Saccharomyces cerevisiae S288C: one gene and its partners. Changing the gene in region 1 together with any one later gene gives a genetic interaction. Each region holds a gene or a part of one and is shown on either strand. Other genes may lie near its edges. The genes, in order: CIN1, FAB1, PPT2 and STU2.

Region 1 (8,053 bases):
TCTAACGAATCCCTCTATCTCCTCTGTTCATTGCGTGTTTTGGTGTGTCTTTTTTGATGAGGATAGTATTCCAATGTTCTACGTTAAAGATTGTTCTCTTAATGGAACGTATTTGAACGGTTTGCTTTTGAAAAGGGACAAAACGTATCTTTTAAAACATTGCGACGTTATTGAATTATCGCAGGGAAGTGAAGAAAATGACATTAAAAAAACACGACTAGTTTTTATGATTAATGATGATTTACAATCTTCTCTGGACCCAAAACTTTTAGATCAAATGGGTTTTCTGAGGGAAGTAGACCAATGGGAAATAACAAATAGAATAGTGGGTAATGGCACTTTCGGTCATGTTCTGATCACGCATAACTCAAAAGAACGTGATGAAGATGTCTGTTATCACCCTGAAAATTATGCTGTGAAGATCATTAAACTAAAACCAAATAAATTCGATAAAGAGGCTCGAATCCTTTTGAGACTGGATCACCCAAATATTATCAAAGTCTACCATACTTTCTGTGACAGGAACAATCACCTTTACATATTCCAGGATCTTATCCCTGGTGGTGATTTGTTTTCTTACCTAGCTAAAGGCGACTGTCTAACTTCCATGTCAGAAACTGAATCGCTATTGATCGTCTTTCAAATTTTGCAAGCTTTAAACTACCTTCATGATCAAGACATTGTTCACCGCGATTTGAAACTAGACAATATTTTGTTATGTACGCCAGAACCGTGCACTAGAATCGTCTTGGCAGACTTTGGTATAGCTAAAGATTTAAATTCCAACAAAGAAAGAATGCATACTGTCGTAGGCACTCCGGAATACTGCGCTCCAGAAGTTGGATTCAGAGCAAACAGAAAAGCATATCAAAGCTTCTCAAGAGCAGCTACGTTAGAGCAACGAGGTTATGACAGTAAATGTGATCTTTGGTCTTTGGGTGTCATTACACACATTATGTTAACAGGGATCTCGCCTTTTTATGGAGATGGTTCTGAGAGGAGTATTATTCAAAATGCAAAAATTGGGAAGCTGAATTTCAAACTGAAGCAGTGGGATATTGTTTCAGATAATGCCAAGAGTTTTGTCAAAGACCTTTTGCAAACTGACGTAGTTAAACGATTAAATAGTAAGCAAGGTCTCAAACATATTTGGATTGCAAAACACTTAAGTCAATTAGAGAGATTATATTACAAAAAGATATTGTGCAATAACGAAGGCCCTAAACTAGAAAGTATAAATTCAGACTGGAAAAGGAAGTTACCCAAAAGTGTTATCATTTCTCAGGCAATACCGAAAAAGAAGAAGGTTTTGGAGTAATCATAGGATTATCTCTTCCTCTTTCAAACTGCGCGTAGTTCAAAATAAAAAGGTATCTGTGTAAAAAAAAAAAAGTAAGTCAATTGTATGATTTTTAAGTAAAAGTTGCCCTTTTCTACTAGAAACGGCGAGAAAAAATGATAGTAGTGTGCCAAGAAGAATATGAAGTTACTTTTTAAAAGATATTCGTCTAGTCATATTGGTAAGCTGATTAAGGACTCTTTAATCACTCCTGAAATACTACCACAGCTAGGGCGACAGCCATCATCGCATAAACGTTTACCAAATAACAAAAGAACTAACTCAATAACTGATAAATGGTTGAAGGATGCGCTAACAAGAAAAGATAAACTGAATGAAGATAAGCTCCAAAATGTAAATTTACGATTAAATGTGGTACTGACTACTCTACAGAAGCTTCGTACATCCGATAATCCTGCTTTGTATTTTGCGTTGTTGAATCGTATTGGCACAGGTCACATAAAATGGCTAAATAAAAGTGGCCGACAGATTGATGCATTCCCACCTGATCGGCTGCCTTTGGAATTTTATCATGAGCTATCTAATATGCTCTATAAACTATCGCTTCGGTCCGCAAATGACAAAATTGCACTAGCTAAATTTTCATTGCAATTATTGGATCGCTATTATTTTCTTAAAACCAAATCTTTAACTATAGAAGGAAAATTTCGGGCAAACATAAAATTTTTGAGGAATTGTACTCTTTTAATTGTTAAATCCCAATCGAACTACTACTTAAGGGCAATACAGCGGTTGTTCGCGGAAAATTCGGAGGGTCAATTATTAGCCAATTTATCCCAGCTGGCATTTTATGTGGAGACCTCCCAATGGACAAGTATGTTGGATATTTTATCCTCATGTGTACCGGATTCTGGTTTAAGAGGTTCGAAGGAGCGTGAAAGAGCTATTCAATTGTTGGAGTTATTTAGTCCATGCCTAGTCAAAAGTCTAAAAGTAATGATAGCACAAAATATGGAGAATGAAGCTTGTCAGATTTTAAGGAGCTTGTCTGAATGGAACTTTCATTTTGATCAGCATGATTCCTCCAACTTGATACAATTATCCCAGAACCATTCTTGCCTCAAAGTTATTGAAACCATGAATGGATTATCATCAACTACCGCTGTCACTAGGCAATTCGGACTTGAAAAATTACCAACTGACGTGAGTTTGAAGCAGAGCATACATATTTTATCAAAAGATAATTTCGAACCTCTCAAGCAAGATTCATTTCTTCAATTTCTATCGTTTAAATTAAGTGATTTGCCTCTGAACTTAGAAGTATGGAAAAAGCACATTAAGGAGGTTGATGACCAAATGCAGGCTGAGTCCAACCTGCATTCCTTAAGAGCTTTTTTTATTGATATGCTACTGTGTCACTTATCTGTGCGCAAGGATTTCGATTTTATGCTTTCATTGGTCGAGCACATAGTATACGAAAAAAATTTATGGCAGCCATTATTACTCACAGATAATATAGTTGGAAACAAAGAAAATTCCACTTTTCATTGCCTCTTTCATGGCGCCTCTCAAGATATTTCTACCAAACTTACTCTACTGGCATTGTATAACCAGTTGAATGAAATCGGCTATCAATTTACCTCCCACGATTTTCTCTCGATGTTGAAAGTCTGCAAAAACTACTCTGATTCTGATTTTTTCTATTTTGCTTTCTATAATTTGTTGGTTACACAAAGTCACAAATTTTTTCTTTTCGATAAGTTTAGTGATAAGTTTTCGTGGAGGTTGCCAATACAAATCGGAGATGCAATTTCTGAATGGCTATCCAGCTTAGAAATTGATATACAAGAAAACACCGATAGAGTTTTGCAGATAACAGATGACGTCGGCGAATGGTATGTTGAGAATAAACCATTTAAGTCAGAAAAAGGGACCATTCAACCAATAAACATAATGGAATTGCGCAAAATTTTTGGGGAGCGAAAAACTCTATTTCATATGGATTCAGAAATTTTCCAAAAATCTAAAGCAAAAAGAGATAAAGAAATGCGGAATGAAGCTTTATTTACCGCAAATGATGCGGAATATAATTTTGCTGCGGATGTATCCTATGCAAAGAGAGTAGAAAATCTATTTTCTTACATAAGATCTAAGCAAATGCAACAAAAATAATGATTATATGTAAAATTTGCCGTTTACATTCTATAAAGTGATATCAGACTCTAATATATTCGCCAATTCATGTTTCTGGCAGGCCACTTGTAGAGCTTGGAGTTGCCTGGTGACACCTAATTCCAAAAATATCTGGAACATACCTTGTAAAGCGACATTTTGATCAGTCATAAATTTTGATTTTGTTGCGGCGTATTCACGTTTCACAAGAACCAACAACCTTTTCAGTATTATGTTGGATAGATTCTTCTGGTCAGCATTTTCTCTCATTGTGTGGTAACAAGATATTGCCAAGAACGGGAAGAATTTGATCACGCTTACTCTCAATGTCGTACAATCTAATAAATGTAGGTTATAGAACTTGGCGAAAACACCCTGAAAATTAAAATTTGGATGTAGAACAACCAACCCAGATTCCATGATTCTAGTCCAAAATTTTACACAATGAATGGTGAATTTGATGGTGTCAAATCTCATACCTCCTGTTAATGGATCCTTGTTACGATCGCGTATTCTTGATTCAGCGATTTGTTTAGCGCTTGGAATTATTCTGATTAAATCGTGGCATAATTCCAGCTGTTGTGAAGGAGACAAAGATCTGTAGTATACGATAAATGAATCTATTGATGAAGTAAGCTGAGAATCTGTAAAATGTATTGCTCCAGCGCTCACTGCATATCCTTTCCAGAATTCTTCACTTAAACCTTGCTTGTGACGGAAATTGAGTATCGAAGAGTCAGATAACACAGTGATTTGTGATGTGGCCGAAGCAAGTAATTGATAACTTAGTTTTCTGATCTCTGGTACAGGTTCCGCCAGCAATCTCGTTAATTTTGGATTGATGGAGTCGCAATCACCAGATAAGAAATCGGGATGGGATTGCATAAGTTTTAAAGCCTGTATTCTTACCAGACGTCCTACATCACCCTGTTGAGTTATTGTATAATCATCGAGACAGTTGATAATGATGTTGCGAAATTTTCGATACGAATTCGACGGGAGTAAGCTTATTCTAACATCCCAATGATGATCAAGTTCGCCTATCAAAAGCGATCTGGATTGAGGTGACAATAGGGGGAACTGGGAGAAGAAAAGGGAACACATCTTTTCTTGATCGGGCATATGACATATTGATCGGCAAGTCAGTTCGTTATCTGATTTAATTAATTGAACAATCCTTGTGTAGTTTAGGCTAACGCATTGAGATATTATTTGCTGTATTATAGGGATGAATTCGTTGTACAGATTTAACTTCTTTTGTGGGGATACTATGTCTACAAATTTCCAAAACAATTCCTGATTGAAATCATTTTGTCCTGTTAATTGCCAGTATTTCAAAATGACAAAAATTTGAAACAGTTCGGGCGAATTATCGTTAAATTGTCTTTTCGCTTGAGTAGTTAATTGGAATTTTATCTTTTTCTGGTAAATGTCGATACAAATCTCGCTTATTTTCGGGCAATTTACGTCATTTTCGAATAGTTTCAAGTACAAGTACAAAATTTGACAATTTTGTGTAACTGAGCTGCCAGCCTTGTTTAATACCTCTTGCAATAAAGCGGGTGAAGATAATTTCGACTTGATTAATGGAACTAGGTTATAATCTATGTTGAGTTTCATTGTGGTCAAATGTAAATTCTCTAGTAAATTCCAATTGAAGGACCAATCGCGGAATACCTTCCATACGCAAACAGCACTTTTGGAGGTGTTTTCGGGGTTGAACAGCCTACGAATTAGACCAGAGTTCTCCTCGAAAGACCTCGGTAGATCCTTCCAATTTGCTTGCAATATCAAAGCAATGTCATTTTGATTTAGCGCAAGAGATTTGTTGGACCTGCCCAATAATTCTTGGAGCGCGGCAAAACTCGAGTATCTGATTATTAATTCGGGGTCAAAAAAGGCGTTTATTAACAGATGAGAAAGTAGTGATTGTAGAACCTGCGGCGATAAACTATTGCTACGGTTTGACCTTATTACTGACCAGATAATGAAGTTTGTCGAGTCCCTGATATGGTGGCCCTTGATGATTTGAAAGTGAGATTTCTGAAAATGACATGTTTTAGGGATGATCAGAGTCAATACGCGGTCGACTAGATCTATAGGCAGAATTTTGGCCAGAGCCACCTCGGCGATGATCAGAAGGGAAGTGTGCAGCTCATTGCTATCGATAGAATCGCAAGGAGCCTGTAATAGGGAAACCGTATTTTCGATGGTATAATCAATGAGCTCGATAAAAGATGCTGGATCTGCCTGGTGCAGGAACTTGGCAATTTTAGCGAAGGAGTGTGCCAATTGGAATCTTGTGTCTGTGGAATTCGAACTTAAATGGTCATGGAAGAATTCTACTATAGCATCTAGGATATCATGAGAGCCATGATTGAACGAAATCTGGAATAATTTTGGCAGCAGCTTTATTCCGTCATTGGACAGTGCAACTTGTTGTAAGTGTCTTAGATTTTCATTGGAGAAGTAGTAGTTTGCCTTTTCCGAAGACTGAATAAACAGCTTTAAAAATTGGTTGAGAAACGGCACATTTGCCTGTTCCCGTTCCGGTAGCTGGTCAAAGGCATCTGTGAAGTTTTTGAAATATAAAACGGCTTTGATCTTGTTAATTGGAGGTATGCAAATGGGGTAGTTCTCGAACCTGGAAGATACTTGAAGCGTTTTGTTGAATTTATCTTTGAATGCGTAAGGTGAAAGCAGAATGACGCTTAGCCAAGAAAGGTTTAGATAGACGCACAAGACATCGCTGAAAGAAGAGGGCGAGGCTCGATCTTGTAAATAGTTTAAAATTTCGTTTAATCTAAAAATACTTGTATCTAATGATTTAAGGACTTTTGAGTGGGAGATCTTGTCAAGATTGTAGAAAAGCTCCGCAACAAGTTTCTGATCACGCTGTGACATACAAAAGAACGACTTGGTCAAAAGAGGCACGCATCTCGGTAGTATGGTGTCTAGAAGTGCAGGATCATCTTGAAATTTGTTGATCGCGGCAATCGTCTGTTGGTGCTTTTCTGGAGAAACGGTCTGAACTCCAGATTGTATCGAGTCCAGCAAGGCCCGAATATTGTTCATGATTGAAGGGTGTAAAGTGCGTGTGGTGGCGTTCTTTCCAAAAATATTATCGTCTTTCCTTTTTTTTTCTTTTTTTTTTTTTCAATAGTAATAGTATTTCCTAGTGATCTCGGCGATTTTCCTTGATTTCTCCAAAAGCGTTTTTACCCGGACGATATGAATCCATCTATTAAACATCATAACATCATATTATTTTTTTCTGTGCTTCTAAAACGGAGATCAAATACCGGGCCCGCGCGCGATGGCCGGATGTCCGTCCATACTGCAATGTGAATTCCCGCGCGGTTCAAATCTTGTCACAAGTTTGTCAAAATTGCTTGTCATGTCTGCCAAATCTCCAGGGTCCTAAATCTGAGGTAGCACGGCACGGCACAAGATGGTACCCATGGTGCGTGACGACAGCCGCTACTTGCACGGCTTTGTTCCGGCAGCCCGGGTACCCGCGCTGCGAGTTGAAACATCATCAAACCAAAAGGGAAGCGACGTTAGTTTTTTTCATTGCGCTAGCTATGACGTTTGGGTGGCCTAGCCGGTTCGCGTGTGCCTGTCGCTTTTGTCGCTTTTCAACTTCTGCCCGATATTTCCTATCAAAGGAAAATGGGACGTTTTCAACCCCTCGCTATCATCGTGCCTGCACTCTGCCTATCGCCAACTACACCGGGGTTTTATCTGCTTCACCCCTCCATCCAGTGCTGATAACAAGAAGAACCTTGCAGGGTAGGGCAGGACCTACGGCCAAAATACTAATTATGTCTGTTTATGTACATGCCCCAATCTGAATATTCCATGAATGTAGGCACAGCATATCTCCATCCATGTACTGATACAGACGCATAAACATATATGTATATACATACTTATACACTCGAATATTTGTAGACTGATGTACTTCTATATATATATAGGGGGTTTGTGTTCCTCTTCCTTTCCTTTTTTTTTCTCTCTTCCCTTCCAGTTTCTTTTATTCTTTGCTGTTTCGAAGAATCACACCATCAATGAATAAATCATGGTAAATATACTGCCCTTCCACAAGAACAATAGACACAGCGCGGGAGTCGTCACCTGCGCGGACGATGTTAGCGGCGACGGTAGCGGCGGCGACACCAAGAAGGAGGAGGATGTTGTCCAGGTAACGGAATCACCATCGTCCGGGTCGCGCAATAATCATCGCAGCGACAATGAAAAAGATGACGCCATCCGTATGGAGAAAATATCTAAGAACCAGTCCGCGTCGTCCAACGGCACCATCCGCGAGGATTTGATTATGGACGTGGACTTGGAGAAATCGCCCTCCGTCGATGGCGATAGCGAGCCGCACAAACTAAAACAAGGTTTGCAGTCGCGCCATGTGCAACTGATCGCGCTGGGCGGCGCCATCGGTACCGGTTTGCTGGTGGGGACTTCATCCACGCTTCATACGTGCGGTCCCGCGGGGCTGTTCATATCGTACATTATTATTTCCGCGGTGATCTACCCGATCATGTGCGCGCTGGGCGAAATGGTGTG
Region 2 (10,524 bases), on another chromosome or scaffold:
CGCTGTCATTTTATTGTACGTTTCAAGTTTTACTAAATAAAAATGACATCTGAAACAGATTAAGTTTTTTTGTAACTTGTGCCCGTTGAAATAGGAATTAACTGTTATAATTGACAATATTCATGTCAACACTATATAGTAATATATAATAAAGAAGGTAACTTAAATGGCGATAGGCGGTCAACAAGTCTAGGGAATCAGAAATGCAAGAATGAATAACGTAATAGGATAGCGAAGGAACATATCAAAAACAAGGGAAAAAAAAATTGGTTCTATATCTAGATATATCTAGAATTTTTGGACTGGTTTTATCTCAATTTCCACCTATCTTTATGTATTATCTTTCGACCGTCTTATCTTTTAATATGGTGGCAGGAATACCAGTCAGACAATGATTGGATCTTGTCTCGGGTTGTTTGTTATCACGTAAGCACCACAGTCCGCTCCGTAGGAAAAGAAAAATAGCCGCCGAGCCACGGGAGCAAATGAGTGAAGAATATGCGCAACGTTTTGGTACATATACAAAAAAATGTAGAAAAGAAGCTAAAGAGATTGACGTTACGTACATATGTATGAGTGGGTAGGTGTGGACGACACTAGGGAGGCTTTACTTCTCTCCAAACATGTGAAGCTGGTTATAGATGTCCTTCTTAAAGTCCTCGTACTTAAAAGACGACTTTCTACGCGTGCCCAACTGTGGAGGAGAGCCGTGTGGGACTCTTGCGCTGTTACCATTGCTGTTGTTGTCAAGGTACGAGTTTTTGAAAATGGGTCTGTTGCCAGCACGAGAACAGATCGGTGTATGGGAGATGGAGTCACCCATATCCACGCCAGCGTGGCTCAGGTCAGAGTCGTTAGTGGTCCTGTATTGCATATTGTGGATAGTATTCTGGAAATCCATGGGTCCGCTACTCCTACGTTCGGCTCCCGGGGCGTGCTCCCCGATACTGCTTTCGCGTTCCCGGGCTTGTTCCCTGGAATTTAGTGCGTCCATATAATTGGTAGACCGCCGTCTAATCATGGGGACTGGCTTGTCTACGCTTTGAGCGGGAGCGCTTGGACCCGGGAGGTTGAATGTAGAAACACTAGGTGTTTCCTGTGCACAGGGCGGTTCGTCGATGTTGAGGAAGTCCTGTGATCTTTCAAATGTGGGTGACGTGCTCACTTGGGGCGTGTTCAAGTGGGGATCTGTCATGAGGGTGAGTGTATGCGTGTGTGTGTGTGTTGCGTAGATGTGTGATTTACTATGTGTTATGTAGCTGCTCTCATCGCTGCTGATAGTAGATCTCTCGCGCAAAAATTACTCAGGCAAACCTTTACTATACCTACATATATATATATATATATGTATATGTATGTGTGCAAGCTTTTCAGAGTGGTGCACTGACATTGACCGGGCCACTCATTCCACCCCACATCCCCCAGATCAGGGGGAGATGTTAACGAAAGGAAACAGGGGATTTATCACTGGTTACGGGAGCGTAGTGACTGTACTACAAATTCGCACACAAGCAGCGCCCAGTGACGAGTCTCCGCGGCGTCTAAGTGCCGGAAGTCATCATCCACGGTGTGCCATGTACTTGGGAATGGTAGCGGGATTGCATGTAATACGGGTACTCCGGCGGCCAGGAATGGCGTGTGGTCGTCTCCGATGACCGAATGCCCGAGCCCTAAAAATCGATAGTCCGTGGGGTCCAGATGTTTGCGTTGACGCGCGACTTCGGCGGCTAATGCCGATTCGCCGTTGATTTCATCTCCACGTCGAAATAACAAGTCATCCTCTATTCGATTGAGCAGCTGATATTCTTGATGTGTCTCTGCATAGTAGCTGGGCACTAGCGGCTCCTCTTCGCCACTTCCTAAAAGATCCAGAAGAAATAATAGGCGAATTCTTGTCATCGTGCCGTCAGCAAGCCATTGGGCGGCTAATCGGCGTGCTCCATAAATCGAGTCCTCGGGGCCCCACTCTTCAATGGCCTCCTCTCCATCAAAGAATACGATCTTTACACCCAAGGTAGAATTCGATACTACAGTGTTCGACTCTAAGTCATTGTACTCTTTCGTGCGCTCGTGGCACGCGATGTGCGTTAGGAACTGGGCCGTATATAGCAGCGCGGCACACGAGGCGGCACTGTCGATAGCGCCCACCATCCCCGTGGGCGCTATCTTGGTATCATAATGAGCAGCGAGCACTAAGTACTCGCTCGCATTGTTTTGTAATGTCATAACAAGGTTATTGAAGCGGTAACCGTTCTCCTCAAAGGCTTGCGTCTCAACGGCCCATTCTCCCGCCAGCGTATTGTTGAAGTGCTCGATGATGAAGCGCTGGATCTCGCGCGAGCCTTCCGATCCGGGTACGCGCGTTCTGTTAAAAGGCAACAGCAGGTTCTTGGTACTTTTGTTCCAACCGCTGTCTGGGTTGATAGCTTCGTTCAGATGCGCTGCATGGTACTGCTCATATGACAACTCCCACCCAGTTACCCTATGCACCTGAAATAGCACCAACAGGTACGCTAGACCAATTAGTCGCAAAGGCAATACGTACTTCATTCCCATGCTTACGACCTTTTCAGTCTTTTTATTTCTTTTCTGTTGACTCTCTCTAACTCTCCCTCTCCCCCTCTTCTTCCCATGAAATGTATCACAAGCCGTCTTATTCCTTTGCTTCTTATATTCTTATGTTCCTTCCTTCGTCTCGCCTCGAAGGCAACGCAAACGCAATGTACTTCTTGACGAACGCGAAAACCATATGGAAAGTAAATAAAGGGCCAAACAAAAAACTATTTCGAATAGCAAGGTAGCTTCCATCCTGTACATGCAAGACCGTCACACAGCATGTCATCGGAAGAACCCCATGCATCTATATCCTTTCCAGATGGCTCACATGTCCGGTCGTCCTCCACTGGTACTTCATCTGTGAACACAATCGATGCTACCTTATCCAGACCGAACTATATTAAGAAACCGTCCCTGCACATTATGTCGACATCTACGACGTCGACTACGACGGATCTAGTGACAAACCCAATTCTGAGCAATATCTCCGTGCCAAAAATAAGCCCCCCCACATCATCCTCGATAGCAACAGCGACATCAACAAGTCACGTGACCGGCACTGCGTCGCATTCGAACATTAAAGCTAATGCTAACACTAGTACCAGCGTGAATAAGAAAAATTTGCCGCCAACAACTAGTGGGAGGATACCCTCTAGCACCATCAAGAGATATCCGAGTCGCTATAAGCCTTCTCACTCGCTGCAGCTGCCCATTAAGAACGACTCCAACTTTAAACGATCTAGCATATATGCCTCCAAATCCACTGTTACTGCTATCCCCATTAGGAACAATCGGCCAATTTCCATGCAGAATTCCTATGCGCGCACTCCTGACAGCGATCATGACGACGTTGGCGATGAAGTGTCTTCGATAAAGAGTGCCTCTTCTTCGTTGACCGCATCCCTGTCCAAGAGTTTCCTGTTCGCATTTTATAACAACCGCAAGAAGGACAAGACCAGTAACAATGGTGTCCTCTCAAAGGAATATTGGATGAAGGACGAGAGTTCTAAAGAATGTTTCAGTTGTGGTAAAACGTTTAACACTTTCAGAAGGAAACACCACTGCAGGATATGCGGCCAAATTTTTTGCAGCAGTTGCACTCTCTTGATAGATGGTGATCGATTCGGCTGTCATGCCAAGATGCGAGTATGTTACAATTGTTATGAGCATGCAGACACATACGAGGACTCCAGTGATGAAGAGAATGATTCTACAATGCAATTGAATGAGCCAAGGTCTCGCTCTCGCTCTCGTTCTTCCAATACCAATCCATATTCTCATTCACATTCGCATTTGCATCTCATTTCACAGGACAACCATAACGGTACCGATCTCCATGATCCAGTAGCAGCAACGGATAACCCTCAACAGCAGAATGAGGTCTACCTATTAAATGACGATGACGTACAAAGTATAATGACCTCAGGTGAAGATTCTAAATTGTTCATTTCTACACCCCCACCACCACCGAAGATGGCCATCCCAGCAACAAAGCAAGGCGGATCGCTGGAAATCTCATTCGATTCGGAAAACGATAGGGCTTTGCATTATCAAGATGACAACCCCGGTCGCCATCATCACCTCGATTCCGTGCCCACAAGGTACACTATCAGAGATATGGACAATATATCACATTACGATACCAACTCTAATTCCACTTTGAGGCCACATTATAACACCAATAACAGCACTATTACCATCAACAACCTCAACAACACTACTTCCAACAACAGCAACTATAACAATACCAATAGCAACAGCAACATCAATAATCCTGCGCATTCCTTAAGAAGGTCTATTTTCCATTATGTAAGCAGCAATAGTGTTAACAAGGACAGTAACAATAGCTCTGCAACACCCGCTTCGTCTGCACAGTCTTCTTCCATACTGGATCCTGCCAATCGTATTATCGGGAATTATGCTCATAGAAATTACAAGTTTAAATTCAACTACAATTCCAAAGGTCCTTCGCAACAAAATGACACGGCAAATGGAAATAATGATAATAATAATAATAATAATAATAATAATAATAATAATAATAATAACAGTGCCAGCGGTATTGCTGACAACAATAACATTCCCTCAAACGACAATGGCACGACGTTCACTCTAGATAAGAAGAAAAGAAACCCACTGACAAAATCTAAATCTACGTCCGCTTACCTAGAATATCCTCTAAACGAGGAAGACTCTTCTGAGGACGAAGGTTCCATGTCCATATATTCTGTATTGAATGATGACCATAAAACTGACAATCCAATTAGATCAATGAGGAACTCCACAAAATCTTTTCAACGAGCGCAAGCTTCACTACAGCGGATGAGGTTTAGAAGGAAAAGTAAAAGCAAGCATTTTCCCAACAATTCGAAAAGTTCCATTTATAGAGACTTAAATTTCTTGACCAATAGTACTCCCAATTTACTTTCTGTAGTAAGCGACGATAATCTATACGACGATTCTTCTCCTTTGCAAGACAAGGCCTCTTCATCCGCTGCAAGCAGACTCACTGACAGAAAATTCAGCAATAGCAGTGGCAGCAATAATAATAGCAATAGTAATAGCAATATCAACACCGATCCTTGGAAGAGAATCGCTAGTATATCGGGATTCAAACTGAAAAAGGAAAAAAAGAGAGAATTAAATGAAGTCTCTCTTTTACATATGCATGCCCTATTAAAACAATTATTGAATGATCAAGAAATTTCCAATCTTCAAGAATGGATAACCCTTCTAGATGGCGCTTTGCGTAAAGTTTTAAGGACCATCCTGAACGCGAGGGATTTGAACACATTAGATTTTAGACAAACTTACGTTAAGATAAAAAGAATTAGTGGTGGATCTCCTCAAAATTCAGAATATATCGACGGGGTTGTCTTTTCGAAAGCATTGCCGTCGAAAACAATGCCACGGCATTTGAAAAACCCAAGGATACTATTAATCATGTTTCCACTGGAGTACCAAAAGAACAATAACCACTTTCTAAGTATAGAGTCCGTCTTTAGGCAAGAGCGCGAATATTTGGATAAACTTGTTTCGAGATTAAAGTCATTACATCCTGATATTATATACGTCGGCGCCAATGTTAGTGGGTACGCGTTAGAACTATTAAATGACTCAGGCATTGTCGTACAGTTTAATATGAAACCACAAGTCATTGAAAGAATTGCCAAGCTAACAGAAGCAGATATTGCCATTTCTGTGGATAAGTTGGCTACGAATATTAAGATGGGTGAATGTGAAACTTTTGAAGTTAAAAGCTACATTTATGGAAACATCAGTAAAACATATACATTTCTTCGGGGCTGTAACCCAGAACTTGGTGGAACAATTTTGTTAAGAGGTGATAGTCTTGAAAACTTGAGAAAAATCAAACAAGTCTCTGAATTTATGGTCTACGCAATTTTTTCATTGAAGTTGGAAAGTTCATTTTTTAACGATAATTTCATACAACTTTCTACAGATGTTTATTTGAAGAGAGCTGAATCCAAAAAACTGCAAGTTTTCGAAGGTTATTTTGCAGATTTCTTGATCAAATTCAATAACAGGATTTTGACTGTATCACCAACGGTAGATTTCCCCATTCCCTTTTTATTGGAAAAAGCCAGAGGCTTGGAAAAGAAGCTCATAGAAAGGATCAATCAATATGAAAGCGAATCTGATTTAGATCGGCAAACGCAACTAAATATGCTTCAAGGCTTAGAATCGACTATCACTAAGAAACACTTAGGAAATTTAATAAAATTCCTGCATGAAATGGAAATTGAAAATTTAGAGCTTGAGTTTCAGAAGAGAAGTCGTCAATGGGAGGTTTCATATTCATCATCACAGAACTTACTTGGTACGGGCTCACACCAGTCTATAACAGTTCTCTACTCAATGGTTTCAACAAAGACTGCCACACCTTGCGTTGGCCCTCAAATTGTTACTATTGACTATTTTTGGGACAGTGATATTTCCATTGGTCAGTTTATCGAGAACGTCGTGGGAACTGCCAGGTATCCCTGCCAACAAGGCTGTAATGGTCTGTATTTGGATCATTATAGAAGCTATGTTCATGGGTCAGGAAAAGTAGACGTTTTAATCGAAAAATTCCAAACTAGATTACCAAAATTAAAAGATATTATCCTCACGTGGAGTTATTGTAAAAAATGTGGGACATCTACTCCGATTTTACAAATTAGCGAAAAAACCTGGAATCATTCTTTCGGTAAATATTTAGAAGTCATGTTTTGGAGTTACAAAGATAGCGTGACAGGAATTGGGAAATGTCCTCATGATTTCACTAAAGATCATGTCAAATACTTTGGTTACAATGATTTAGTGGTTCGACTAGAATATTCTGATTTAGAAGTTCATGAATTGATAACCCCACCACGCAAAATAAAATGGAAACCTCATATCGACATCAAACTGAAGGTGGAACTATACTATAAGATTCTGGAAAAGATCAATAATTTCTATGGGAGTGTCCTAAGTCGGTTGGAACGTATTAAATTGGATAGTATGACTAAAGATAAAGTTCTTAGTGGACAAGCTAAAATTATCGAATTGAAGAGCAATGCTACAGAGGAGCAAAAATTAATGTTGCAAGACCTGGATACTTTTTACGCAGATAGTCCTTGCGATCAACATTTACCATTGAACCTGGTTATCAAATCTCTATACGATAAGGCTGTAAATTGGAACTCTACATTTGCGATATTTGCAAAAAGCTATTTGCCTTCTGAAACTGATATTAGTCGTATCACGGCCAAGCAGCTGAAAAAACTGTTTTACGATTCTTCAAGAAAAGACAGCGAAGACAAAAAATCACTTCATGATGAAAAGGCGAAGACGAGGAAACCAGAAAAGAACGAATTACCGTTAGAGGGATTGAAAGATGTCGAAAAGCCGAAAATTGATAGCAAGAATACGACAGAGAATCGTGACAGAACGAACGAACCACAGAATGCCGTGACGATAACCACTTTTAAAGACGACACTCCAATTATTCCAACAAGTGGTACTAGTCACTTGACAGTTACACCTTCTGCATCGTCGGTTTCTTCTTCTTTGACCCCTCAAACCGAAGAACGTCCGCCAATAAGCAGAAGTGGAACAGGTATATCTATGACTCATGATAAAAGCACTAGACCTAACATAAGAAAAATGAGTAGTGATAGTAGTTTATGTGGACTAGCATCACTTGCTAATGAATATAGTAAAAATAATAAGGTGAGTAAGCTAGCTACATTTTTCGATCAAATGCATTTTGATGCCCTGTCGAAAGAATTTGAACTGGAACGTGAAAGGGAAAGATTACAACTTAATAAGGATAAATACCAAGCCATACGATTACAAACATCCACACCAATTGTGGAAATTTATAAAAATGTCAAAGACGCAGTTGATGAACCGCTTCACTCTAGAAGTTCAGGCAATAATTTGTCATCTGCGAATGTTAAGACTTTGGAGGCACCTGTGGGAGAACATTCCCGGGCCAATAATTGTAATCCTCCTAATTTAGATCAAAACTTGGAAACTGAATTAGAAAATTCCATTAGCCAATGGGGAGAAAACATTTTGAACCCCTCTGGAAAGACCACCGCAAGTACTCATTTAAATTCTAAGCCAGTAGTAAAGGAAACTTCAGAAAATCCAAAGTCAATAGTTAGAGAATCAGATAATTCAAAGTCGGAGCCGCTTCCACCTGTAATAACAACAACAACTGTCAATAAGGTAGAATCCACTCCACAACCTGAAAAATCATTATTGATGAAAACCTTGAGCAACTTTTGGGCAGATCGATCTGCGTATTTGTGGAAACCCCTTGTTTATCCAACCTGTCCTTCGGAACACATTTTTACTGATAGTGACGTTATAATCCGCGAAGATGAACCAAGTTCCTTGATCGCATTTTGCTTAAGTACTTCTGACTATAGAAATAAAATGATGAACTTGAATGTCCAGCAACAACAGCAGCAGCAAACAGCAGAAGCTGCTCCTGCCAAAACAGGAGGAAACAGTGGAGGAACTACGCAAACCGGGGATCCTTCTGTTAACATTTCTCCCTCAGTTTCTACAACTTCTCATAATAAGGGGAGGGACTCAGAAATTTCATCCTTAGTAACCACCAAAGAGGGCTTGTTGAACACCCCTCCCATTGAAGGCGCCCGAGATAGGACCCCACAAGAATCACAAACGCATTCCCAAGCAAATTTAGATACTCTTCAAGAATTAGAGAAAATTATGACAAAAAAAACAGCCACACACTTGAGATATCAATTTGAGGAGGGTTTAACGGTAATGTCATGTAAAATTTTCTTCACAGAACATTTTGACGTGTTTAGAAAGATTTGTGATTGTCAAGAAAACTTCATTCAAAGTTTGTCAAGATGTGTTAAATGGGATTCCAATGGGGGGAAAAGTGGGAGCGGGTTTTTAAAGACTTTGGATGATAGATTTATTATAAAGGAGCTGTCACACGCAGAACTGGAAGCCTTCATAAAATTTGCACCAAGTTATTTTGAATACATGGCACAAGCAATGTTCCATGATTTGCCCACGACTTTGGCTAAAGTATTTGGGTTTTATCAAATTCAAGTAAAAAGCTCTATTTCAAGTTCCAAAAGTTATAAAATGGACGTTATCATTATGGAGAACTTATTTTATGAGAAGAAAACAACAAGAATATTTGATTTGAAGGGTTCCATGAGAAATAGACATGTCGAACAAACAGGTAAAGCTAATGAAGTGTTGTTGGATGAAAATATGGTAGAGTATATTTACGAATCACCTATTCATGTTCGCGAATATGACAAGAAACTTTTAAGAGCTTCTGTTTGGAACGACACATTATTTTTGGCCAAAATGAATGTGATGGATTATTCCTTAGTCATTGGTATTGACAATGAAGGGTATACTTTGACAGTAGGAATCATTGATTTCATTCGAACGTTTACATGGGACAAAAAACTAGAAAGTTGGGTCAAAGAGAAAGGCCTAGTAGGGGGGGCCAGTGTGATCAAGCAGCCTACCGTTGTTACACCAAGACAATATAAAAAACGTTTTAGGGAAGCAATGGAGAGGTATATTTTGATGGTTCCTGATCCGTGGTATAGGGAAGGAAATTAATACATAAACGTGTACAAGTTATATTCTGTAACTTTTTTTTATACACTATCACGCACATTAGTGTTCTTTAACTTTCAGTACCTTAGTAGTTATCAACTATGAAAAGGTGGTTCAATGAATGTTACGAAAGGTTTATTATAGAAGGATAAGAAGCAAAAATTTAAAAAAGAAATGCGTCACAGACAGGATTCGAACCTGCGCAGGTAAAACCCAATGCCTAATTGCTTTTCTGAGGAAATAGCAGGGCATCGCCTTAACCACTCGGCCACTGGGACAGAATCTCTTGGTTTGTTCAATGAAGTAAACTATTTTGTTGTAAACATAATGGGTATGTTTAACGGCGAGAGAAAACTATGCGAAATTTGGTATAATTGTTGTGTTTCCATTGTTGTTAAAGGCATTAACACTAAGTTTACAGAACATACTAGAAGTTGTTTTCGGCAACATAGGAATCTACAAAAGGGGATGGATAATTCTACATAATAATATTATTATTTCCCCTTTCATTGTTGACATAATGTTATAAATTCGTACTCTATGTTGCTGGTGTGCTTATGAACGCTACAATCAATTTTTTCATGCATACTTGAGGTAATAAGATGTCGATACTTTTATGGTGTTTATGAACATGGCAATACCCGTTACCACTCGTGTTGGGTGTAGGTACAGCAACACTAGATTCCGAATCACCCCCGTCATTGCCACCATACTACTGTAGCGATATGGCGAGTGTGTATCATTGTTGTTTTGTCGTTGGCCATCTTCAATATAATCAATATGAAAGCCAATCATGCATTTTGAAAAGATAGTCTCGCGGTCGGTGTTGAGGAACTTTTCATTGCCTACGTCGAA
Region 3 (5,424 bases), on another chromosome or scaffold:
TTATGTCTTTATCGGTCAACGAAGCTCGAAAATTTTGGGGCAGTGTTATTACGAGAAATTTCCAAGATTTCATTGAAATATCTAACAAGATAAGTTCATCAAGACCGCGACATATACCGCTCATCATTCAAACCTCAAGGACATCAGGAACTTTTCGAATATCACAACCAACTATCAGTATGACTGGAGTCAATCCTACGTTGAAGGATATTGAAGGCGATATTCTGGACGTAAAGGAAGGAATCAATGGTAATGATGTCATGGTTATTTGTCAAGGAATTGAAATTCCTTGGCATATGCTCCTGTATGATTTGTATTCTAAATTGCGAAGTTTTGATGGCTTTTTGTACATAACTCTTGTTCCTATAAAAGGCGGCGATAAAGCTTCCTCTGAGCTCTAAGAGCTGTTATATACGCATTTAAAAGTGTCATTCAAATATCGCAGAAAATAACTTGGACGTTGAAAATAGGGCCACATTTATACGGCTGCAAGAAAACTTTTACTCTCTTTCTACCAAGTTTGTTACTGCAATTAAATAATCTTTATCATGGGATAGCGAAACTAAAAACTCATGAGTGGAAAAGAGAGAATCGTAGTTTTTCGAGAGCTGTTGATACTTTGGATACTTTTTTCCAAACATCTTATCAAACTCTAACTGAGGTACACCTGTATCGGTTTGTGTTTTATATAGCATTCCAGCGTACAGTACTTGGGCAGGAGGTAGATCATGCTTTGAAACACAGCAACACAACGCTTTCAATGAGCATTCCTTCAAAGCCCAAACTCCCGCTATATATTCATGCAATCGTGGAGTTAAGCAGTTTTCTTCGATGAGAAGATTACTGAAATGAAATCTTTCCTTTTCATGCATGAACTTCCGTGTTATTTTATTCAAGGTAGAACGGCCACATGGGTCGAATGGGGAATATTTCTCTAGTATATGTGCAAATCTTGGCAAGTATACAATGTCAACTCCCACTCCTGCTATCTTACGTCCAATATTCCTCGATGCAAAACTCATCACTGGAGGCATTCAAAGCTAGCACTTATGAAATAAACGTTCATTAGAAAGCAATACTCCTGATAAGAAAATAGTGCTTAGCTTCTATTCAGCCTTCTTAAAGAACTAGCTTTTCTATCAAAAGTCAGATCTCTTATGACCGCTTGAACCTGTGGAATGTATATAAGCAGTTTTGATGTTAAGATTTTTTTTTCAATAGAATTTCTTCCTTCGGAAATAATCCCGATTAAGAAATTATTCTTGACGCAATATTCAGCTATATGTTGATCGGGCTTAACCGCATAAGTTTCGTTACCCTTTTTTACCCCAATTTTTAATTTCGGCGGTTATTTTCAGCCCTTTTAGAGTCAAGATATATAAGAATGCTTCTCTAAGAAGTGAGACTAACAATGAAACCCGTTTCAGACAATCTGGAAGTCTTAGAACGCATAACACAGAAATGTCAACAACATTAGCAGCACCAGCGAAACTAAAGAGTTTGCTCCTGAATCTACATACTCACTGTATTGGGCTACACGTTAACGATGTCACACCTAAAGTATATTTCAAGTTATTGATACGGCATCTTCTACAGATATCTAGATCAAACGCTGCTCATCCTAAGCTAAGAAGAAGGGCCCAGATTTTATTGGTATCGCTTTTCCTATCTGGTGTCACACTTTTTTCTGGTGTAACATATAGTACTTTCAAAATTATTCTAAAATGTTATAAATTTTACAAGTTTCCATGGAAGAGAAGGAATAGGAGACCTTTAATAAGAAGAACAAGATCTCAAATGCAATTAGACAGTGGTGCAAGAATAATGTATATTCCTGAAGTGGAATTAGTCGACCGCCAGAGTCCCGATGACAACAAATTTATGAATGCTACAGATAAAAAAAAAAGGAAAAGGATATTTATTCCACCAAAGGATAACGATGTATATGAACACGATAAGTTTCTTTTTAAAAATGTAGAACTGGAAAGAGCCAAGAATTCGCAGTTATTCTACTCAAAATTTTTAAACCAAATGAACGTCTTGTCTAAAATTTTAATTCCAACAGTTTTTGACAAAAACTTTCTTCTTTTAACTGCTCAAATTTTTTTCCTGGTGATGAGAACTTGGCTCTCTTTGTTTGTAGCCAAGCTGGATGGACAAATAGTCAAAAATATAATTGCTGGTAGAGGAAGAAGCTTTCTGTGGGACTTAGGGTGTTGGTTTTTAATTGCTGTCCCTGCTTCTTATACTAATAGTGCTATTAAGCTACTTCAAAGGAAGTTGAGTTTAAACTTTAGGGTAAATTTGACACGTTACATCCATGACATGTATTTGGATAAAAGACTAACATTTTACAAATTAATTTTTGATGCAAAGGCGTCCAATTCGGTAATCAAGAATATCGACAACTCCATTACTAATGATGTTGCAAAATTTTGCGATGCGACATGCTCCGTTTTTGCAAACATTGCAAAGCCAGTTATTGATTTAATATTCTTTTCGGTTTATTTACGTGATAATTTGGGAACTGTGGGAGTAGCAGGTATATTTGTTAATTATTTCATTACTGGGTTTATTTTGAGGAAATACACGCCACCATTAGGTAAATTGGCAGGCGAGAGATCTGCTTCAGACGGCGATTACTACAATTATCATCTAAACATGATAAATAATAGCGAAGAGATCGCATTTTACCAAGGAACAGCAGTGGAAAGGACGAAAGTTAAAGAGTTGTATGATGTGCTGATGGAAAAAATGCTGCTGGTTGATAAAGTCAAGTTTGGTTACAATATGTTGGAAGACTATGTTTTAAAATATACATGGTCCGGTTTGGGTTATGTTTTTGCCTCAATCCCTATCGTTATGTCTACCTTAGCGACAGGCATCAATTCAGAGGAAAAAAATATGAAGGAATTTATAGTCAACAAAAGGTTGATGTTGTCGCTTGCAGATGCAGGCTCGAGATTGATGCATTCGATAAAGGACATCTCACAATTGACCGGCTACACTAATAGGATATTTACTCTGCTTTCCGTCTTACACAGGGTTCACTCTCTGAACTTTAATTACGGCGCTGTTCCTTCAATCCTGTCAATACGTACAGAAGACGCTTCCAGAAATTCCAACTTATTACCCACCACGGATAATTCGCAAGATGCTATTCGTGGTACTATTCAACGCAATTTTAACGGTATTCGGTTAGAAAATATAGACGTAATCATTCCATCAGTAAGGGCGAGCGAAGGCATAAAGCTGATTAACAAGCTTACATTTCAAATTCCTTTGCATATTGACCCAATAACTTCAAAGTCCAATTCTATACAAGACTTATCGAAGGCAAATGATATAAAGTTACCATTTTTGCAGGGTTCTGGCTCCAGCCTGTTAATATTAGGGCCAAATGGTTGCGGTAAAAGTTCAATTCAACGCATTATAGCTGAAATATGGCCAGTGTATAACAAAAATGGATTATTGTCGATTCCTTCAGAAAATAATATTTTTTTTATTCCTCAGAAACCATATTTTAGTAGAGGTGGAACTTTAAGAGACCAAATTATATACCCCATGTCCTCGGATGAATTCTTTGATAGGGGGTTTAGAGATAAGGAGCTAGTACAGATATTAGTCGAAGTGAAACTAGATTATCTTTTAAAAAGAGGCGTTGGCTTAACTTACCTAGATGCCATTGCCGATTGGAAGGACTTATTAAGTGGTGGTGAAAAGCAAAGAGTAAATTTTGCTAGAATCATGTTTCATAAACCACTATACGTAGTATTAGATGAGGCTACAAACGCAATTAGTGTTGACATGGAAGACTATCTGTTCAATCTTTTAAAACGATACAGATTCAATTTCATTTCCATATCACAAAGACCCACATTAATCAAATATCATGAAATGTTACTAGAGATCGGTGAAAATCGAGATGGCAAATGGCAATTACAGGCAGTTGGTACCGATGAAGCAATCACGTCGATTGACAACGAGATTGAGGAATTGGAGAGAAAACTAGAAAGAGTAAAAGGTTGGGAAGATGAGAGGACGAAGCTACGGGAAAAGCTTGAAATTATTTGAAAACACCCTAGAAAGGGAGAGATTTTATTTAGCGAATATAATTTATATATTATTTCCGTAACTGAATTTGTACTTTTGAATGTTTAACTGATATCTAGAGATATCGACATGGGAATGCCCTCTCAAACTAGAAAAGGGCAGAGAACGAAAAGAAAATGAAACAATTTGTTACCTACTATACAGTTGTTGGTCTTGCCAACACAAATATGAACATATATATATATATCTCACTTGATGAATCCACGTATCAAGGACAACCTTTTCATGGAAACATATACTGTAAAACAAAAAACTCTATTTGAAGTCCTTATGTGTCCACTTTTCAGTGATTTTCTGCTTATACTTTCTACCTTTCCTAACGGGCACTCTTGTTTCGACCTTACCAGAACTTTGTAGTTTTCTCACAGTATCATATAGCAGATTTCCTTCAGGTTTCAGTTTTCTCAATGAGTCAGATAATTCGTCAGAAAATTTAATCTCCAATCTTTCATCAATCACAGAGTATTTCGTCCCTAACTTGTGTTTCTTATTTTTCTTGCTTTTTTTAACCTTGTTGCTATCTGACTCTATGGCTGAAAGTATCTCAGTCTCTTCAGAATTGATAACTTCTTCTAAATCTTTAACACGTTGTCTCAATTCTTTCAACTCTTGTTGCAATTTTACTTTCTCTTCATGTCTCTTTGCCTTGTTTCTTTGATATTTTGTTTTCTTTTTATTCTTCACAGGCTTATTTATTGATAGTTTTATTTCCTTATCAGATCCACTACATTGCGTACTTTCATTTTCATTTTCATTTTCTTCTTCTTCTTCTTCTTCTTCTTCGTTTGATGAAGACTCTTCCTCTTCATTGTCATCTAAAGTTTCCATTAAATGTCTAATTCTTTCTTTGTACTTTTCCAAGGCGATTCTTTCATCTTCTCTTGCCTTTTCCTCTTTATACTCTTTGTTTATCAATTCTGACCAAGCTTTATTGTTGGGATTGTAGGATTTACCAGCATGTGGAATTTCTGTGAATTCTTTTACTGCAATTGGCTCTATATCTAAAGTACTTGGTCTGACTGAAGCAGTAGACCAACTTGTCGTGGATTTTTTCAATAGTTCTTCAGGTATCTGGTCCTTTTTTTCCACATCAAGTTTGATACCGGAAGGTAATTTGACCTTCTGTTTCTTTGAATTGGATTCTTCACCCCATAAGTCGCCAGCCGTTGTTTTAACTAGACCGTCTTTGGCAACTCTATTCTTGATCTTCGATTCGCCGTGTACTCTGCCAGCCAAAGCCATTAATTTCTTTAATTCGTGTTTAGAAACACCTTGAATCTTATTAGGATTTCCACTACTATTCTTATGGTG
Region 4 (7,989 bases), on another chromosome or scaffold:
CTACATCTCTTCAGATTAAATCGTTAAATTACAATAGAAGTTCCGCTAAAAAAGTTTACTGTATTTTATTTATTGTTATTTTCAGCATGAATTTAAAGTCCATCGTTAGCTGGTTCAAGGAACATCTTCCCAGTTTTGATGTCGACGTGGACAAGCATTTTAGAACTTTAAGAGTCCGCAAATATTCTCAGATATGTCTTTTAATTTCTTTCATTATAATATGTGTTATTATACCCTTAATGAATTATTTGTTGCTAACTGACAAATTCTTCAAAATATGTCACCATTTAAAGCATCATGTTTTCAACAGAAGATCATGGGTTCACAAAACACATATGTATCACAAACAGTCACTACAACTATGTTTAATATGCTTTGTTTTCACCTCGTTTTTTGTTATACAAGGCGCTAACGGAGATCTGTTAGAAATTACTAAGCGAATGGGGAGAATTTCCGTTGCTTTGATGCCACCTTTACTATTTCTAACGTTGAGGCCATCACCGTTACCTCACACGTTATACTTAGCATTGTTACCTCTCCACAAATGGATTTCCAGAATTGTTGTGCTTGAATCTATTCTACACACGTGGTTCTATCTCTATTACATGTACATTAATGATACGTTATACGTGAAAATGAGAAAACTACCCAACATTTATGGGGTTATTGCCCTCGGCCTTTTCCTACTGATTGCCATCACCTCTGTGAGATATGCCAGACGATGGAGCTACAGAGTTTTTTACTATGTTCACTATGTAAGCACATGGCTTATTTTGGTGTTTCTACATTATCACGCTCGCCCAGGAATTTCATATTATACCACTTTAAATGTGCTCATATTAACGGGACAAATCGTCTATAGGCTCCATATCACCAATGTTACGAGAGTTACGATAGTACCCATTTCTTCATCATTGTCTCTTTTGGAGTTCCCATTAACCGATTTACCCAAAAAGCCCATCCTACCAGGAGGGCATCTAAGGATCAACATTTACCATAGAAATTTTTTAAGGAGGTTTTTCTCCCATTTGATACCCTTCCAACATCCTTTTACTATTGCTAGTATTCCAAGTGATAATTTGGTCAGGTTAATTATTAGAAACGGGCATTTTCCATTGCGTACAAATGAAAAGTATTACATTACAGGGGCTTTTGAACCTGAGTTGAGTTTCATTTCTAAACCTACTGTTCCTTTTAATATTACCACGAAATCTTCCAAGAATCCATTTCGAAACAATTCTTCTGCACTAATAAATTCGCCTTTAAATTTTCTAATTAAAGCGCAAAGAGTGTTTATGTGTGTTGGAGGTTCAGGAATTTCCTTTGGCTTACCACTACTTCGTATTCTAAACTTCAACGGTGTAAACGTTAGGCTCCTTTGGGTTTCTAGAGATTATAAGGATCTGGAAGTATTGAACCACTTCAAAAACAATTTTGAAGGTATGGAGATATATATTAGTGGCACCGAAGGCAACGAACAGGACATAGAAATTGATTATATTGACTATCATGACTGCGCTGCTGATATTAATGATGAAGTCAGGAGTATTTCTTCGAGCGGCCGAGTTTCAGAACTGGGAGATAATTCCATGTTATCAGATGGAAATCCCCAACCTACGGAGCCCAATGAGAACACAGCCCTTCTAAGTAAGAAATCTACCTTGAGAAACCATCACCCACCAAAAACAAGTGATATACCTGACATCAATGCTGATGACGAGATAGATTTTACATATGCTTTTAGCAGATCCAAATCAAGGAAAAATACTGCACAAGGAACTCTAACTACACATTCTTCGTTTAACGGATCGAGCGTTTTCAGACAACCAAAGATCATTGAGCCACCTGCCCAAGATCCTTGTTTAGAGGCGGCGCCTAAAAAGATCAGAATTCCCGCAGGTGTTAAAGTGTTCTTTGGCAGGCCTACACTTGGAGATAAGGATTATGAATGGTGTCTGCAAACCGAATGTGATGCAGAGACGGATTCTATTCAATGTTGCAGGTGGGCGAATCAAGGCAGAGACCATGCTGAATATTTGTCACAAGTATGGGTTCTCGCTGCAGGCCCTAGAGGCTTAATTGAAAGCACCAAAAGATGGGCGACAGATGGTGGTTTACACTTTCACGGAGAAAGTTTTGCATTATAAGAGTTGCAAGTTGGCTATTAGTTTATGAGGCTTGGAAAATTCACGTATTTGATGGTGGCATATCTATAATGTCCCGTTTTGCTCTTTAATCTTACTGTCAAAAAAGGGCCCTATGTACGATCTTTTCTAACTGATTTTTTCCGAGAAAAGTTCCGCAGGCTGATTTAGTTTTTTTCTGGTGGTTGTCAAGCCTCTCTCCACTTGGTGATAGTTGCGAAAAATGACAGCGGATATTAATGGATATTAGCGGGAATAAGCACATTTCCATATTGATTATTTGTATGTCTAGCAACTTATAAGATGAATTATAAAAGGCATATAAGTTCTTCTTGGTACTGAATACATGACACTCTCACTACTGTACTAGAGACTTATTGTCGATAAAAGAACTCAACTGCCTCAATAGGAATTTTTTTACTAAAGCAATCACTGATTATGAAGGTTTTTATGCATACAATCCTCACAAAGGTGCAGCGATTGCATTTGTCGTTCTGTTTGGCATTTTAATCCTTTCTGCCTTGGTGCAGATCATAATGGCAACACACACGAGCAAGAGACGTATTCATCGCTGGGAAAACAATGAGTTGTCAGAGGAAAATTCCACAATAATATACTTTCCTGCCCGCGGTTTGATGTGGACACATTTTCCTTTCGTTTTAGGGATTTGTTTAGAGTTCGTGGGTTATGTGTTGAAAATAGTCTTTATCAATAGCCCCTCGATTTCGACTTTCATTGCTCAATCGGTGCTTCTATTGATAGCACCTTCACTTTACGCCCTTAGTATTTTTATGTTGTTCAGCAAAATGGCACGTCTAATTCTTATGGAGGCATATATGTTAATTCCTGCGAAATTTAGTACAGTTTCTTTCGTAGTGGCAGATATGATTGGGCGTGTCCTACAGGCTGTAGGAGGTGGGTTGTTATCCTCATGGAACAGCAGGAATACTGGGCGTATCCTAATTATTGTGGGTCTTTTCATTCAGATATTTTGTTATACCTTTTTAACGTTCAGTCAACTTTTTCTTCACTATAAAATGAAGGCAACGCCTAGTAAAATTGTGCGGGATAGTAATGAATGGTTCCAGTACAATTTTATACTTTTAGCTGGGATATTGCTGGTTAATGGTAGAACCATTGTCAGAGTAGTACAATTTCTAATGGGCTTACAAAGCTATATAGGTCAGCACGAATGGTGCCTTTACGTTTTCGATACAGTTCTAATGTTTTTACTACCTTTGATTTTCCTAGCAACCTTTCGCGCAAGAAATTTGTTCAAGCTGCAGGATAAATCTGTCAATATTCAATTAAACAAATTATTAGACAAGGAATCTGTGTCTGAAGATTAAGTAGTCAAAAATTTATTAATTAAATAGTTGGATAATATTTGTGCTGGGCATTAGAAGTCAATCTTGTCTTTTCCTTTATATGGTGCAAAGATTATCATGGTTAACGAATCTATTTTTTTTCGTGTCGTTTTTGTTTTTGTTTTTGTTTTTGTTTTGTCTGCTTGACACTCCATAGGAAGAGTAAATGAAGAACCTACCAGACCTAGGGACCAAATAGCATTACTAAACTACAAAGAAACAGCTATCTTTACAGTGTAAAGTATTTTTGAGTTTTTATTAAAGAGTTTGAAGTTGACTATGTCAGGAGAAGAAGAAGTAGATTATACAACGTTACCCCTAGAAGAGCGATTAACGTACAAGTTATGGAAGGCACGTTTAGAAGCTTATAAGGAGTTAAACCAGCTTTTTAGAAACTCCGTTGGCGACATCAGTAGGGATGACAACATACAAATTTACTGGAGGGATCCTACATTATTTGCACAATATATAACTGATTCTAATGTGGTCGCTCAAGAACAAGCCATTGTTGCCTTGAATAGTTTAATAGATGCCTTTGCGTCATCGTCTTTGAAAAATGCACATAATATTACTTTAATATCAACATGGACACCATTGCTTGTGGAAAAGGGCTTAACGTCCTCAAGGGCTACAACGAAGACGCAGTCGATGAGCTGTATACTCTCACTATGTGGTCTTGATACATCTATTACGCAATCGGTGGAATTGGTAATACCCTTTTTCGAGAAAAAACTGCCAAAATTAATTGCTGCGGCAGCCAATTGTGTTTATGAGTTGATGGCTGCATTCGGGCTCACTAATGTGAACGTTCAAACGTTTCTACCAGAATTATTAAAGCACGTACCTCAACTAGCCGGTCATGGTGATAGAAACGTTCGATCACAAACGATGAATTTGATTGTCGAGATCTATAAGGTTACGGGCAACAATAGCGACTTGTTAGAGGAGATACTGTTTAAAAAATTAAAACCAATTCAAGTGAAAGATCTTCATAAATTGTTTGCAAAAGTTGGTGACGAGCCATCGTCATCGAAAATGTTATTCGAGTGGGAGAAAAGAGAATTGGAAAAGAAAAGAAGCCAAGAGGAGGAAGCCAGGAAAAGAAAGTCCATATTATCGAATGATGAGGGGGAATATCAGATAGATAAGGATGGAGATACATTGATGGGGATGGAAACGGATATGCCACCATCAAAACAGCAAAGTGGAGTTCAAATAGACACCTTCAGTATGCTACCGGAGGAGACGATCCTCGATAAACTGCCTAAGGACTTCCAGGAAAGGATAACGTCGTCCAAATGGAAAGATAGAGTGGAAGCGCTGGAAGAATTTTGGGATAGTGTTCTATCGCAGACTAAGAAGTTAAAAAGCACCTCGCAAAATTATTCCAACTTATTGGGGATATATGGCCATATTATCCAGAAAGATGCAAACATTCAAGCTGTTGCACTAGCCGCTCAATCAGTAGAATTAATCTGCGACAAACTAAAAACACCAGGCTTTTCCAAGGATTATGTTTCACTAGTCTTCACTCCCTTGTTAGACAGGACAAAGGAAAAGAAACCTTCTGTGATAGAGGCCATTAGGAAGGCATTATTAACCATCTGCAAGTATTACGATCCATTAGCCTCCAGTGGACGCAATGAAGATATGTTGAAAGATATTTTGGAGCATATGAAGCACAAGACACCTCAAATCAGAATGGAGTGTACGCAATTGTTTAATGCAAGCATGAAAGAAGAAAAAGATGGATACTCGACCCTGCAAAGATACTTGAAGGATGAAGTGGTACCAATTGTGATTCAGATCGTCAACGACACCCAACCTGCTATAAGAACTATTGGATTTGAGAGTTTCGCCATTCTAATTAAAATATTTGGCATGAATACCTTTGTGAAAACATTAGAGCACTTGGATAATTTGAAAAGGAAAAAAATTGAAGAAACGGTCAAAACTCTACCTAATTTCAGTATTGCAAGTGGTAGTACCCATAGCACTATTGAAACGAATAAACAAACTGGGCCAATGGAGAATAAATTTCTCCTGAAAAAAAGTTCTGTACTTCCCTCCAAGAGAGTGGCATCTTCACCGCTGAGAAATGATAACAAAAGTAAAGTGAACCCAATAGGGTCAGTAGCCTCCGCATCAAAACCATCAATGGTAGCTGCTAACAATAAATCGAGGGTCCTGTTGACGTCTAAGTCTTTGGCAACGCCAAAAAACGTAGTAGCTAATAGCACTGACAAGAATGAAAAGTTGATTGAAGAATACAAGTACAGACTGCAAAAACTACAAAATGATGAGATGATATGGACCAAAGAAAGACAAAGCCTATTGGAAAAGATGAATAATACAGAAAATTATAAGATCGAAATGATTAAAGAAAACGAAATGCTAAGAGAGCAACTAAAGGAAGCGCAGTCTAAATTGAACGAAAAGAACATTCAATTAAGATCCAAGGAGATTGATGTCAATAAGCTGTCTGATAGAGTACTGTCACTAGAAAACGAGCTTAGAAACATGGAGATCGAATTGGATAGAAATAAGAAAAGAAATGATACAAACTTGCAATCGATGGGTACGATTTCATCATACTCCATACCTTCTTCCACCGTGTCAAGCAACTATGGGGTAAAATCTTTATCTTCCGCTTTGCCATTTAAGGAGGAGGAAGATGTCAGAAGGAAAGAGGACGTCAACTATGAAAGAAGATCAAGCGAGTCCATCGGCGACCTGCCGCACCGCGTAAACTCTCTTAACATACGGCCGTACAGAAAAAACGGCACTGGAGTGAGCAGTGTCTCCGACGATTTGGATATCGATTTCAACGATAGTTTTGCCTCAGAAGAAAGTTATAAACGTGCCGCTGCAGTGACATCTACCCTAAAGGCCAGAATTGAAAAAATGAAGGCCAAATCAAGGCGGGAAGGGACAACCAGGACGTAAAGGGTAGCCTCCCCATAACATAAACTCAATAAAATATATAGTCTTCAACTTGAAAAAGGAACAAGCTCATGCAAAGAGGTGGTACCCGCACGCCGAAATGCATGCAAGTAACCTATTCAAAGTAATATCTCATACATGTTTCATGAGGGTAACAACATGCGACTGGGTGAGCATATGTTCCGCTGATGTGATGTGCAAGATAAACAAGCAAGGCAGAAACTAACTTCTTCTTCATGTAATAAACACACCCCGCGTTTATTTACCTATCTCTAAACTTCAACACCTTATATCATAACTAATATTTCTTGAGATAAGCACACTGCACCCATACCTTCCTTAAAAACGTAGCTTCCAGTTTTTGGTGGTTCCGGCTTCCTTCCCGATTCCGCCCGCTAAACGCATATTTTTGTTGCCTGGTGGCATTTGCAAAATGCATAACCTATGCATTTAAAAGATTATGTATGCTCTTCTGACTTTTCGTGTGATGAGGCTCGTGGAAAAAATGAATAATTTATGAATTTGAGAACAATTTTGTGTTGTTACGGTATTTTACTATGGAATAATCAATCAATTGAGGATTTTATGCAAATATCGTTTGAATATTTTTCCGACCCTTTGAGTACTTTTCTTCATAATTGCATAATATTGTCCGCTGCCCCTTTTTCTGTTAGACGGTGTCTTGATCTACTTGCTATCGTTCAACACCACCTTATTTTCTAACTATTTTTTTTTTAGCTCATTTGAATCAGCTTATGGTGATGGCACATTTTTGCATAAACCTAGCTGTCCTCGTTGAACATAGGAAAAAAAAATATATAAACAAGGCTCTTTCACTCTCCTTGCAATCAGATTTGGGTTTGTTCCCTTTATTTTCATATTTCTTGTCATATTCCTTTCTCAATTATTATTTTCTACTCATAACCTCACGCAAAATAACACAGTCAAATCAATCAAAATGTCTGAAATTACTTTGGGTAAATATTTGTTCGAAAGATTAAAGCAAGTCAACGTTAACACCGTTTTCGGTTTGCCAGGTGACTTCAACTTGTCCTTGTTGGACAAGATCTACGAAGTTGAAGGTATGAGATGGGCTGGTAACGCCAACGAATTGAACGCTGCTTACGCCGCTGATGGTTACGCTCGTATCAAGGGTATGTCTTGTATCATCACCACCTTCGGTGTCGGTGAATTGTCTGCTTTGAACGGTATTGCCGGTTCTTACGCTGAACACGTCGGTGTTTTGCACGTTGTTGGTGTCCCATCCATCTCTGCTCAAGCTAAGCAATTGTTGTTGCACCACACCTTGGGTAACGGTGACTTCACTGTTTTCCACAGAATGTCTGCCAACATTTCTGAAACCACTGCTATGATCACTGACATTGCTACCGCCCCAGCTGAAATTGACAGATGTATCAGAACCACTTACGTCACCCAAAGACCAGTCTACTTAGGTTTGCCAGCTAACTTGGTCGACTTGAACGTCCCAGCTAAGTTGTTGCAAACTCCAATTGACATGTCTTTGAAGCCAAACG

The links.
Region 2: mutations in CIN1 (region 1) and FAB1 together harm fitness more than expected from each alone (negative genetic interaction), as found in Saccharomyces cerevisiae (2 studies listed by BioGRID).
Region 3: mutations in CIN1 (region 1) and PPT2 together harm fitness more than expected from each alone (negative genetic interaction), as found in Saccharomyces cerevisiae (2 studies listed by BioGRID).
Region 4: mutations in CIN1 (region 1) and STU2 together harm fitness more than expected from each alone (negative genetic interaction), as found in Saccharomyces cerevisiae (2 studies listed by BioGRID).

Annotation. Positions count from the first base shown.
Region 1 is NC_001147.6:988,283-996,335, reverse strand, and holds CIN1 (Cin1p), read right to left. Parts: upstream 6,548-8,053; coding exon 3,503-6,547; downstream 1-3,502. Other genes in the region: serine/threonine protein kinase MEK1, read left to right, coding at 1-1,318; MNE1 (Mne1p), read left to right, coding at 1,481-3,472; proline permease PUT4, read left to right, coding at 7,554-8,053.
Region 2 is NC_001138.5:181,667-192,190, forward strand, and holds FAB1 (1-phosphatidylinositol-3-phosphate 5-kinase), read left to right. Parts: upstream 1-2,835; coding exon 2,836-9,672; downstream 9,673-10,524. Other genes in the region: IGD1 (Igd1p), read right to left, coding at 608-1,195; YFR018C (uncharacterized protein), read right to left, coding at 1,465-2,556. UniProt on the Saccharomyces cerevisiae protein: The PI(3,5)P2 regulatory complex regulates both the synthesis and turnover of phosphatidylinositol 3,5-bisphosphate (PtdIns(3,5)P2).
Region 3 is NC_001148.4:271,794-277,217, forward strand, and holds PPT2 (holo-[acyl-carrier-protein] synthase), read right to left. Parts: upstream 1,023-5,424; coding exon 501-1,022; downstream 1-500. Other genes in the region: ATG5 (Atg5p), read left to right, coding at 1-401; ATP-binding cassette long-chain fatty acid transporter PXA1, read left to right, coding at 1,462-4,074; NOP53 (Nop53p), read right to left, coding at 4,369-5,424. UniProt on the Saccharomyces cerevisiae protein: Transfers the 4'-phosphopantetheine moiety from coenzyme A to a Ser of mitochondrial acyl-carrier-protein.
Region 4 is NC_001144.5:233,505-241,493, reverse strand, and holds STU2 (Stu2p), read left to right. Parts: upstream 1-3,790; coding exon 3,791-6,457; downstream 6,458-7,989. Other genes in the region: FRE8 (putative ferric-chelate reductase), read left to right, coding at 87-2,147; YLR046C (uncharacterized protein), read left to right, coding at 2,681-3,493; PDC1 (indolepyruvate decarboxylase 1), read left to right, coding at 7,413-7,989.